Linked DNA regions of Canis lupus familiaris. Each later gene encodes a partner of the first gene's protein in a complex. Links are inferred from orthologs where the notes say so. Each region holds a gene or a part of one and is shown on either strand. Other genes may lie near its edges. The genes, in order: SMAD1 and SMURF1.

Evidence for each region.
Region 2: the proteins of SMAD1 (region 1) and SMURF1 are in contact, whole or in part, in an NMR structure (PDB 2LB1), measured with the Homo sapiens proteins. The link is inferred for Canis lupus familiaris from reciprocal best matches to the Homo sapiens genes SMAD1 and SMURF1. Residues at the interface, in NP_001003688.1 of Homo sapiens: Asp221, Thr222, Pro223, Pro224, Pro225, Ala226, Tyr227, Leu228, Pro229, Pro230, Glu231, Asp232; in NP_065162.1 of Homo sapiens: Glu313, Val314, Arg315, Ser316, Arg321, Tyr323, Val325, Asp326, His327, Arg330, Thr331, Thr332, Gln333, Phe334.

What each region holds. Positions count from the first base shown.
Region 1 is NC_049236.1:44,385,169-44,389,073, forward strand, and holds the start of SMAD1 (mothers against decapentaplegic homolog 1), read left to right. Parts: upstream 1-1,377; 5' UTR 1,378-1,483; intron 1,484-3,720; exon of another isoform or gene 3,721-3,905. UniProt on the Homo sapiens protein: Transcriptional modulator that plays a role in various cellular processes, including embryonic development, cell differentiation, and tissue homeostasis.
Region 2 is NC_049227.1:10,465,862-10,469,766, forward strand, and holds the start of SMURF1 (E3 ubiquitin-protein ligase SMURF1), read left to right. Parts: upstream 1-1,031; 5' UTR 1,032-1,268; coding exon 1,269-1,323; intron 1,324-1,807; exon of another isoform or gene 1,808-1,884; intron 1,885-3,905. UniProt on the Homo sapiens protein: E3 ubiquitin-protein ligase that acts as a negative regulator of BMP signaling pathway. Mediates ubiquitination and degradation of SMAD1 and SMAD5, 2 receptor-regulated SMADs specific for the BMP pathway.

The DNA.
Region 1 (3,905 bases):
TCTTCTTTGATGAGAGCAGGGATTTTTTATCTGTGTAGTTTGTAACTATATGCCTTGTAATTAGAACAGTGCCTCACACATTTGTTTGTTCGTTCATTCATTCATTCATTCAGCAGGTGTTTAATAAGCTCCTACTGGGTGCCAGATACTGTTCTAGGCTCTGAGAGAATAGCAATGAACCGAACAGACCAAAAGTCCTGTTCTTTCAGCTAAGTAGTTAGGTAGTGATAGGGAAAGAGGATTACAAAACATGTGTGTTTGGGAGGGGTAGGTAAAAGTTTAGATAGAGTGGCCAGGCTGGGTCTTATTGAGAGGGGAACAGTTGGATGAAGACCTGAGAGGGGTGAGGGAAGGCCCACAGCCATGTGGGAAGGGCTTTCCAGGTAGGAGACAGCTACTGTGGAGGCCCTGAGATGGGATTGGACTCAGGTTGCTCCAGGACTTGTGAGGAGGCCAGGTTGACTTGAGGAAGTAAGCAAGGGAGAGAGTAGGAGATCAGGTAGGAAGGAGTTGGGAGCACAGATCAGGGAGGGCTTTGTACACATGGTGAGAACTCTTACTTGAATGAAATGGGGAGCCACGGGAAGGTTTTCTGATACAATGATATCAATACACAAGCCATATTCAAGCTTTGACAATTGTCCAAATAATGTCCTTTTTTGAAAAAAGTATCCAATTTTTTATTGCCGCCATTTAAAGAAATAACTTGCACAAAGGGTAAAATCAAATTGCATAGCATATGCAGTGTGAATAATTGTCATTTGTGGCGATCAGAACTGTACTAAGCAAGGTCATGTGTAGGTTAAAATGTAATAATTTTATAATTTTTATAAAATAAAAAGTGAGTTTTATTGTCATTGCATAGCTTCTCCCACAATCCTGGGTCCAATTAAGGATCACACACTACATTTAGTTGCTGTATCTTTTTAAAACAGCTTTATTGAAACAAAATTCACATGCCATCTAATCTACCCATTTAAAGTGCACGATTCAATGGCTTTTAATATATCCACAGAGTTGTGTAACTACCATCACAGACTAATTTTATAACATTTTTTACACGCCCCCCCCCCCAAAGAAACACGATAACCTTTGGCTATCGCTCTTCCTCGATCTCCCTATCCTCCCAAACATAGGCAACCAACATTCTACTTCCTGTCTCTACAGATGGGCCAATTCTGGGTATTTCAATATGAATCAAATATGTGGGCTTTGTATCTGGCCTCTTTCATGTGATACAATATTTTCCAGGTTCATTCATGCAGCATGTGTCAGTATCTCATTCTTGTTAATGACTGAATAATGTTCCATTGTGTATACAGCACGTTCTATTTACCAGGGAAGGGTTTTGGGCAGAGGAGTGACCTGATCTGAGTGGCATTTCACAAGGCTCAGGCCAGCTGTTGTTTCAAGGAGCAGAGAATGATGAACTGTGTCAAATGCTGCTTTTAGGGAAAATAAGATGAGGCCCAAGACTTGACCAGTAAGTGCTCAAATAGCTTAACAAAGAGATGAACTGAAATATTCTGATCTATAATTTACAAAGTGTTGTATGTCTTATGGGGCTTGTTGCATTTCTTTTGAATAATTAAACATGGAATGCAGAAATAAATTAAGAAATATGAATTTAAAATAGACTGTGGACATGTAAAGGTGCATGAACAATTGGAGAGTACCATTAACTTCCTTCGGTCTTTGATATTTTCTTTATACTGGTGGTAATGGTTCTTTGAGTTCGTGAGAAATTTATTCCTCAGAGTAATCATTCCTCTCTAAACATAACTCAACATTATGGTAATTATCCAAGATTTCATGCCAGCTTCCAGAGAGCTAGCCAAGGGAAAAATTAATTCTTACAAAAGATATGTTCGAGGTCTATGCAGATCAGGTTAGATGAGAGCCAGTCTGTTTTTATTTTAGGGGGTTGGTGTCATATAAAAGATTATAGAAATCGGATCAAAAGTTGAGTTCCATCCCAAAAAAAAAAAAAAAAAAAAAAAAAGTTGAGTTCCACTGTGGCATCTGCCATTACTTAGAACCACTACGTTACCCACTCAAGTCATCACATACTGAACTGGCCCAAAACACAAAACAGCGATACGGGTGGGTGTAAGCAGATGCAGCAGCACTAGGCTATCCAGTTCTGGGTACGTGCAACTTGTGGGGCGTGCAAAAGTGAAGGGCAATGGAAACTGGACATGAAAAGGAGAGGTCTGAAAGAGAATGGTCAGAAACGCGCCCCGCGGGTGCGGTGGTAGCGTTCGGAGGGCGCGGTGGGCGGGTGATGAGTAGTTCAGAAAATAAAGACTAAACCTCGAACTTCACGTGAGGATAACGCACCAAGCCCGCTCCGCCGGGACTCCAGGAAGCAGGGGAAAGAAGGCTGGTTTCTTTCTCCTTGGAGTCAACGGGGCGTGGGGCCGGGGGCGGGCTGGGGGAGGCGGGAGCAGGGAGGTGGCCGGCCCCGCGGCCCCGCGCTCGCGCTCAGCGGCCGGGAATTTGGAGAGGATCCCTGGTCGCGCGGCGGCGGCGGCGGCGGCGGCGCGCGGGTGCGCGTGTGAGCAGGCGGGCGGGCGGGCGAGCGAGCGAGCGTGCGGGCGGGCGGGCGAGTGCGCCGGCTGTTGGCAGCCGCCGAGTGGAGGCTGGGCGGCTCCGACTCCCTGACGCCAGCGCGACCAGATCAATCCAGGCTCCGGGAGCGGGCGGGCGGGCGGAGGAAGCGGAGGCCGAGCGGCCGAGCCCGGGCCGAGGCGCGGGGAGGCACCCTGCGAGCGCAGCGCCCCGCCGGCCGGACCGGGGCCGCGGGACCCCGCTCGTCCGGCCCCTCGTGCGCCCGCGCGGACGGGCGCGCCGCCAACCCGGTAAAACGAAACAGACCCGCACCCAACTTTCTCCTTGGCCGCGTCCCCGCCCTCCTTCGGCGCCCGGCGCTTGCTTTCCAGCGCCGCCGCCGCCTCCCGTGGGGTGAGCGCGGGGCCGGTGACGCGGGCCGCGGCGGGCAGGGGGCTCTTCCCCGCGCGGGGCGGGCCGGGCCGGGCCCCCCCCATGATGGCGCCTCCCGGCCGCGCCGAGGAGCGGACCTGCCACCGCCTCCCGCTCCCGCTCCCGCTCCCGCTCCCGCTGTGGCGCCCGGCCGGCCAGGCGGGGCTCGGCGCCGTTCTCCTCGCGTCTTTGTTGGCTCAGCCGTGGGGAAGCCGCGCTCCTCCGCCCGAGCCTCTCCCCGGCGCCGGCCGCCGCGGGACCTCCCCTCCCGCCCTCTTTCCCCCTCCGCAGCCGGGCCGAGGCCCGTGCGCGCCGCCCGCCGCCCGCCGCCCCATTGTGTCCCGCCGGCCCGGGCGACCCTTGCGGGAGCTGGGGGACGGCCGCGGGGCGCTGCCCTCCGCGCGGTGGGCGCCCGGCCGAGCGGGGCCGGCTCCAGGGGCCCCCGGTGCCCCGCGCGCCTCCGCATCCCGCACGGGGGCCTTTCCCTGCCCCAGCGAGCCTCTTGGGGGTCGAGGTCAAGGAAAGTTCGCACCGAAATTCCCTCTAATTTATTCAAAGGCTTGGCGGCGGCGCGTATTTTTTTTTTTTTTTTTTCCCCTCTCTCTTCCGCCTACACCCCGTGCGCCTCCAAGTGTCGTCTCATTCCTTTCCCTTTACCGGATTCGATTGCCTCACTGCATGTGTATTTGTGAGTTCGCTGTTGAACAACTGTTCATTTACTCCGCTCGCCGCCTTTGTTAGTGTTCCTCGGGCTCGTTGCTGGAGGAAGGTGGGGGGAGTGGGTGTGAGCGAGACCGACGTGGGCTTGTTTTTCTAGTTGCTTTATACACATGAGGGCTTAAAGGGAGAACGTTTCCTTGATGCACTTTAGGAAGGGAGGAGGAACAAACGCCTGCCGGATCCCACAACTACAGTAGCTGCGG
Region 2 (3,905 bases), on another chromosome or scaffold:
AGCTTTTCTTCTTTAGTAACAGTTATTTCCTCTCCATTACAGGTTAACAAAGAGAGGAGTTTGTTTGCTGGAGAAAGCCTAATGAGCTCTTAGCTCTACCCTGCAACTCTGGGAGGAGGGAAAATGTTAGTTTTTAGTTCAACTCTGCAATCCTGGGAGGGATGTGTTAGCAGAAGGCGGGGAAACCAAGGCCGTAAAGCTGCCTTTGTTGGTTTGGATTGTATGCAGATTGGATCATAACAAACATCTACTCAACTTTATCCCTCTCTCCCATCTTGTTTACCTTGTCCATATATGGCACTTCCAGCGATTCTGGCAAGTGTAACGGGTCAACAGAGCGCACTACCTTGCACAGAACACACGTAGGGGACTTTTGTGTCTTTGAGAAGTCTCTCCATTGAAACTGCATTCTCTGAAAGCTCTACTCAAAAAAAAAAAAAAGAAAAAGTGGTACCTATTTGTGCAAGGTGCTTGGTGTGTCGTAACAGGCTACGGGTTCACGTAATCCTCCTTCCAATATCTATGTGGGGGGGGCGGGCGCCCCGGAGGCTGGAGAGACACCCGGAAAATCAATTCGGTCCGCATCTGCAAACCTGTTCCCTTGGACAATGTGGCGAAGACTGAGGGTGGCGGTTCGAGGGCCCACATGTGGCCCCGCACCCTAGCTTCGCCTTCCCCCGGCCTCCAGGGCGAGCTCCGCTCCCAGGCCCCGAGCTCCTTCGCCCGGCTCCCGGGGGGAGGACGTGGGCAGGCCCCGCCACTGGTTCCAGACCCCGCGCGCCCCTAGCCAGGCCTGCGACGTAGCCCCGCCCCGCCCCGGCGTGCTCTCGGGTGCGCGCACGCACGCAGGCGCGGGGGCGCACGGCGCGGGCACGCGCAGGGCCGGGCCGGCACGGCGGCGGGAGCGCGCGCGGCTCCGGGAGGCGGCGGCGGCGGCGGCGGAAGCGGCGAGGGCGGCGGGCGTCCGGCTCTGAGGAGGAGGAGGAGGAGGTGGTGGTGGCGGTGGCGGCGGCGGCGGAGGCAGCGGCGGCTCTGGACTGGGCTCGGCTGGGAGCGGGCGAGGGTCGGGGGCGCCGGGTCGAGCGCCGATCCCCCGGCTCGACCATCCTCCCGCCGCCCGGACGCCTGGGCCGCGGAGTTTGTGTCCCGGCTCGGACCCCGGCGCCCAGCCCGGAGCCGTAACCTTGAGGCGGCGGCGGCGGGGCCGGGCCGGGCCGGGCCGGGGGGCGGCGGCGCTGGATCCGCGGCTGCCCGATCGTTGGCGGGAGATGTCGAACCCCGGGACGCGCAGGAACGGCTCCAGCATTAAGATCCGTCTGACAGGTACGGCCGGCGGGAGGCCCACCCGCCTCCCCCCGCACACCCCACCGGCGCCCGCTGGCGCCCCGCACGGGCCCCCAGCAGCCCCGGAATTCCCCGCAGAGCGCCCCGGTGGAGTGGCCCTCCCCCACGCCGGCCGTTGTCCCAGGACCTCGTCACCCCCCTCGGCGAGTGCCCCTCGCTCCGCGCTCCCGGCCCCGCCCCCTCGCGGCTGCCGGCCCCGCCCCCTCGCTCCTCACCCCCCACCTTCCCCCCCCACCGCGGCCCTCCCGCTCCCCTCCTGCCCCCCCCACCTGCCCCGTCGCCTCCCTGCTCGCGGCCCCCACCCGGCCGCGGGCTCTCCCCTCTCGCCCCCCTCGTGGCCCCGCCCCCCGCCGCTCAGCCCCCTTCCTCCCCCTCGCTTTCCCCGCTCTCCCCTCACCTGCCTCCTCGCTCTCCCTCCCGGCCCCGCCCCTCGCTCTCGGCCCCGCCCCTCGCTTCTCCCCACCTCCCCATCCTCTCTGGCTCGGCGGCCTCTTCTCCGCGGTACCCGGCGCTTCGCCCCGCTACCCTCCCGGTTCTTACTCCCCCCGCCCCCACCTACCCCCCGTCCGGCTTCTCCCCTCCCGGCCCCGCCCCTTTATTCTCCTCGGCGGGGCTCGCTCCCTTTCCCCCTAGGCCCCGCCCCTGCTTATCTCGCAGCCCCGCCCCCTCGCTGGGTCTCGCCGCCTCCACCCTTTCCTTCAGCCTCGAATTCCTCAGTCCTGTGGTGTGGCGTGTCCCGGTCCTGTTCTCTTCACTTCCCCGCTGCTCCAGACCTCTTGAGTCTGGCCCACTTCCTCTGTGCCTCGGGCCAGGCCACTGTCGGCTGCCTGCCGTGCTGCCCCGGTACTTCCCCCATTGCACTTTCCCAGCACTGCCCCCCCATCCTAGAGCCCTGAGTGGGGCTGAGGGTCCCCCGCCCCCCACTGGAGGCTGTGGCAGCTGCACGAACGCCGGCTCCTCGATTCACTCTCACCGAGTCCTCAATGAAGTGCCCGCGTCTCCTCGGAGGCTCTGTAGTGCCACCTTCCAGGGTGAGCGCGAAGCTCGGCTGCGGCCGGCGACGCGGTGGTTCGGCCGCGGGTGGATGCGCCCCTCGCCGGCGGCCCCTTCCCCGGCCCTCGGGGCCACGGAGCTGCGGCCTCGCCTCCCCGTTCAGATTCACACCTTAGGCCGGATCGTAGGGCCGCAGACACGCGTCTGCCAGGGGACTTTCCGGACTCGAGTATTTCCAGCCCTGGAAGGGAAATACAAAGTTCAGGCTAGTTCCTGTCGGGGGGCTTTCCCTTGGATTTTTCTGTTGGATGGCCAGTCTGGTGAGGACCCCAGAGTCAGAGTTCGGTCGGATGCTTTCAGAGAGCAAATGAGAGTTTTGGACACTTTGTGGCAGATGCGTAGCCCTAATTTCGGTAAAATCCATGAAAATAACAATGGCGATCGTTTTCAAACGAAAGTTTCCTTTGAAAGTACGGAGCTGTTGCGTGACTCACATTTTTCTCAAGAAAAGTGTTGTAATTTTTTTTTTTTTTTTTTTTTTTTTTTGTAGAAAGATGTCAGATTAGGTTACAAGATAAGGCGGCCAGGTAATGATTTGGACCCAAATCCAGACCCTGGTTGTGTGAAGTAACAGCCATCTGTCCCAGGGATCTTTGCTTCTGGAGGAACATACTCTGTTCCAGGGCCAGGAGGAAATGCTTCTCACTATGTAGATACAGTATAAAGCATTGTTATTTTTATGGTTACATGAAAGACATGTTTTTGACTTTGTAATGCTTGTAAAACTTTAATTACTGACAACTTTAATTGGATTCTAATTTACAGTGTAATCTGTAATTGACATCAGATTGGTTTCATTTTTCTTGTTAAAAGCAGAAATAACTGATTTCATGAGTTTTGGTAGAAATGTGATTAATGTTTCAGAAGGAATAGGTTCTCATTACAATGTTTGTATCATATACACATTTATATATCAAACCAAGTTGGCAGGTCTGAGCCTTTCCCTTGAAAAAGGGAGGGCTTGGTTTGTCCTCCCAAATTATTTTTGGATTCAGAAATTTACATGCCAAAGATACAGAAATGCTTTGAAGAGTTTTGGATGGCATTTGATACTGAAGGATCAAGTGATGAGTGTTATTTCCAAAGCTCCCTTTCCCTTCATCCCTGTTGGTGTTAGTGATTGGGATGATGTGTGAGTGTGGTCATCCCTGCAACAGGATTTTTAGTGGTGATGGCAGATCCATGTCTGTTGTCTGTTGAATGTTAATTTATGTTGAGGTGCTGGAACCTCAGATGTTTTGGTGTAGAGTAGGTTTTGGCATCATCTTTAAGGTTGTCCAGGGCAGTTTGAAAATCTCTTCTTTTCTGGCATATTGGGTAGCCATCTTTCAAAAGTTGTATACTCTTGTTACAAGATTTAGAGTTTAATTCTATGCGTGATATTTGAAAAAATTTTTTTTTTAAAAAACAAGGGGCATTCTAACCAGTAATTAATATCACACAGAGTATAATTCCAGGCAACATCTGAAGACACTGGAGTATAAAACAGCCTTTAAAATTTGAGGTCC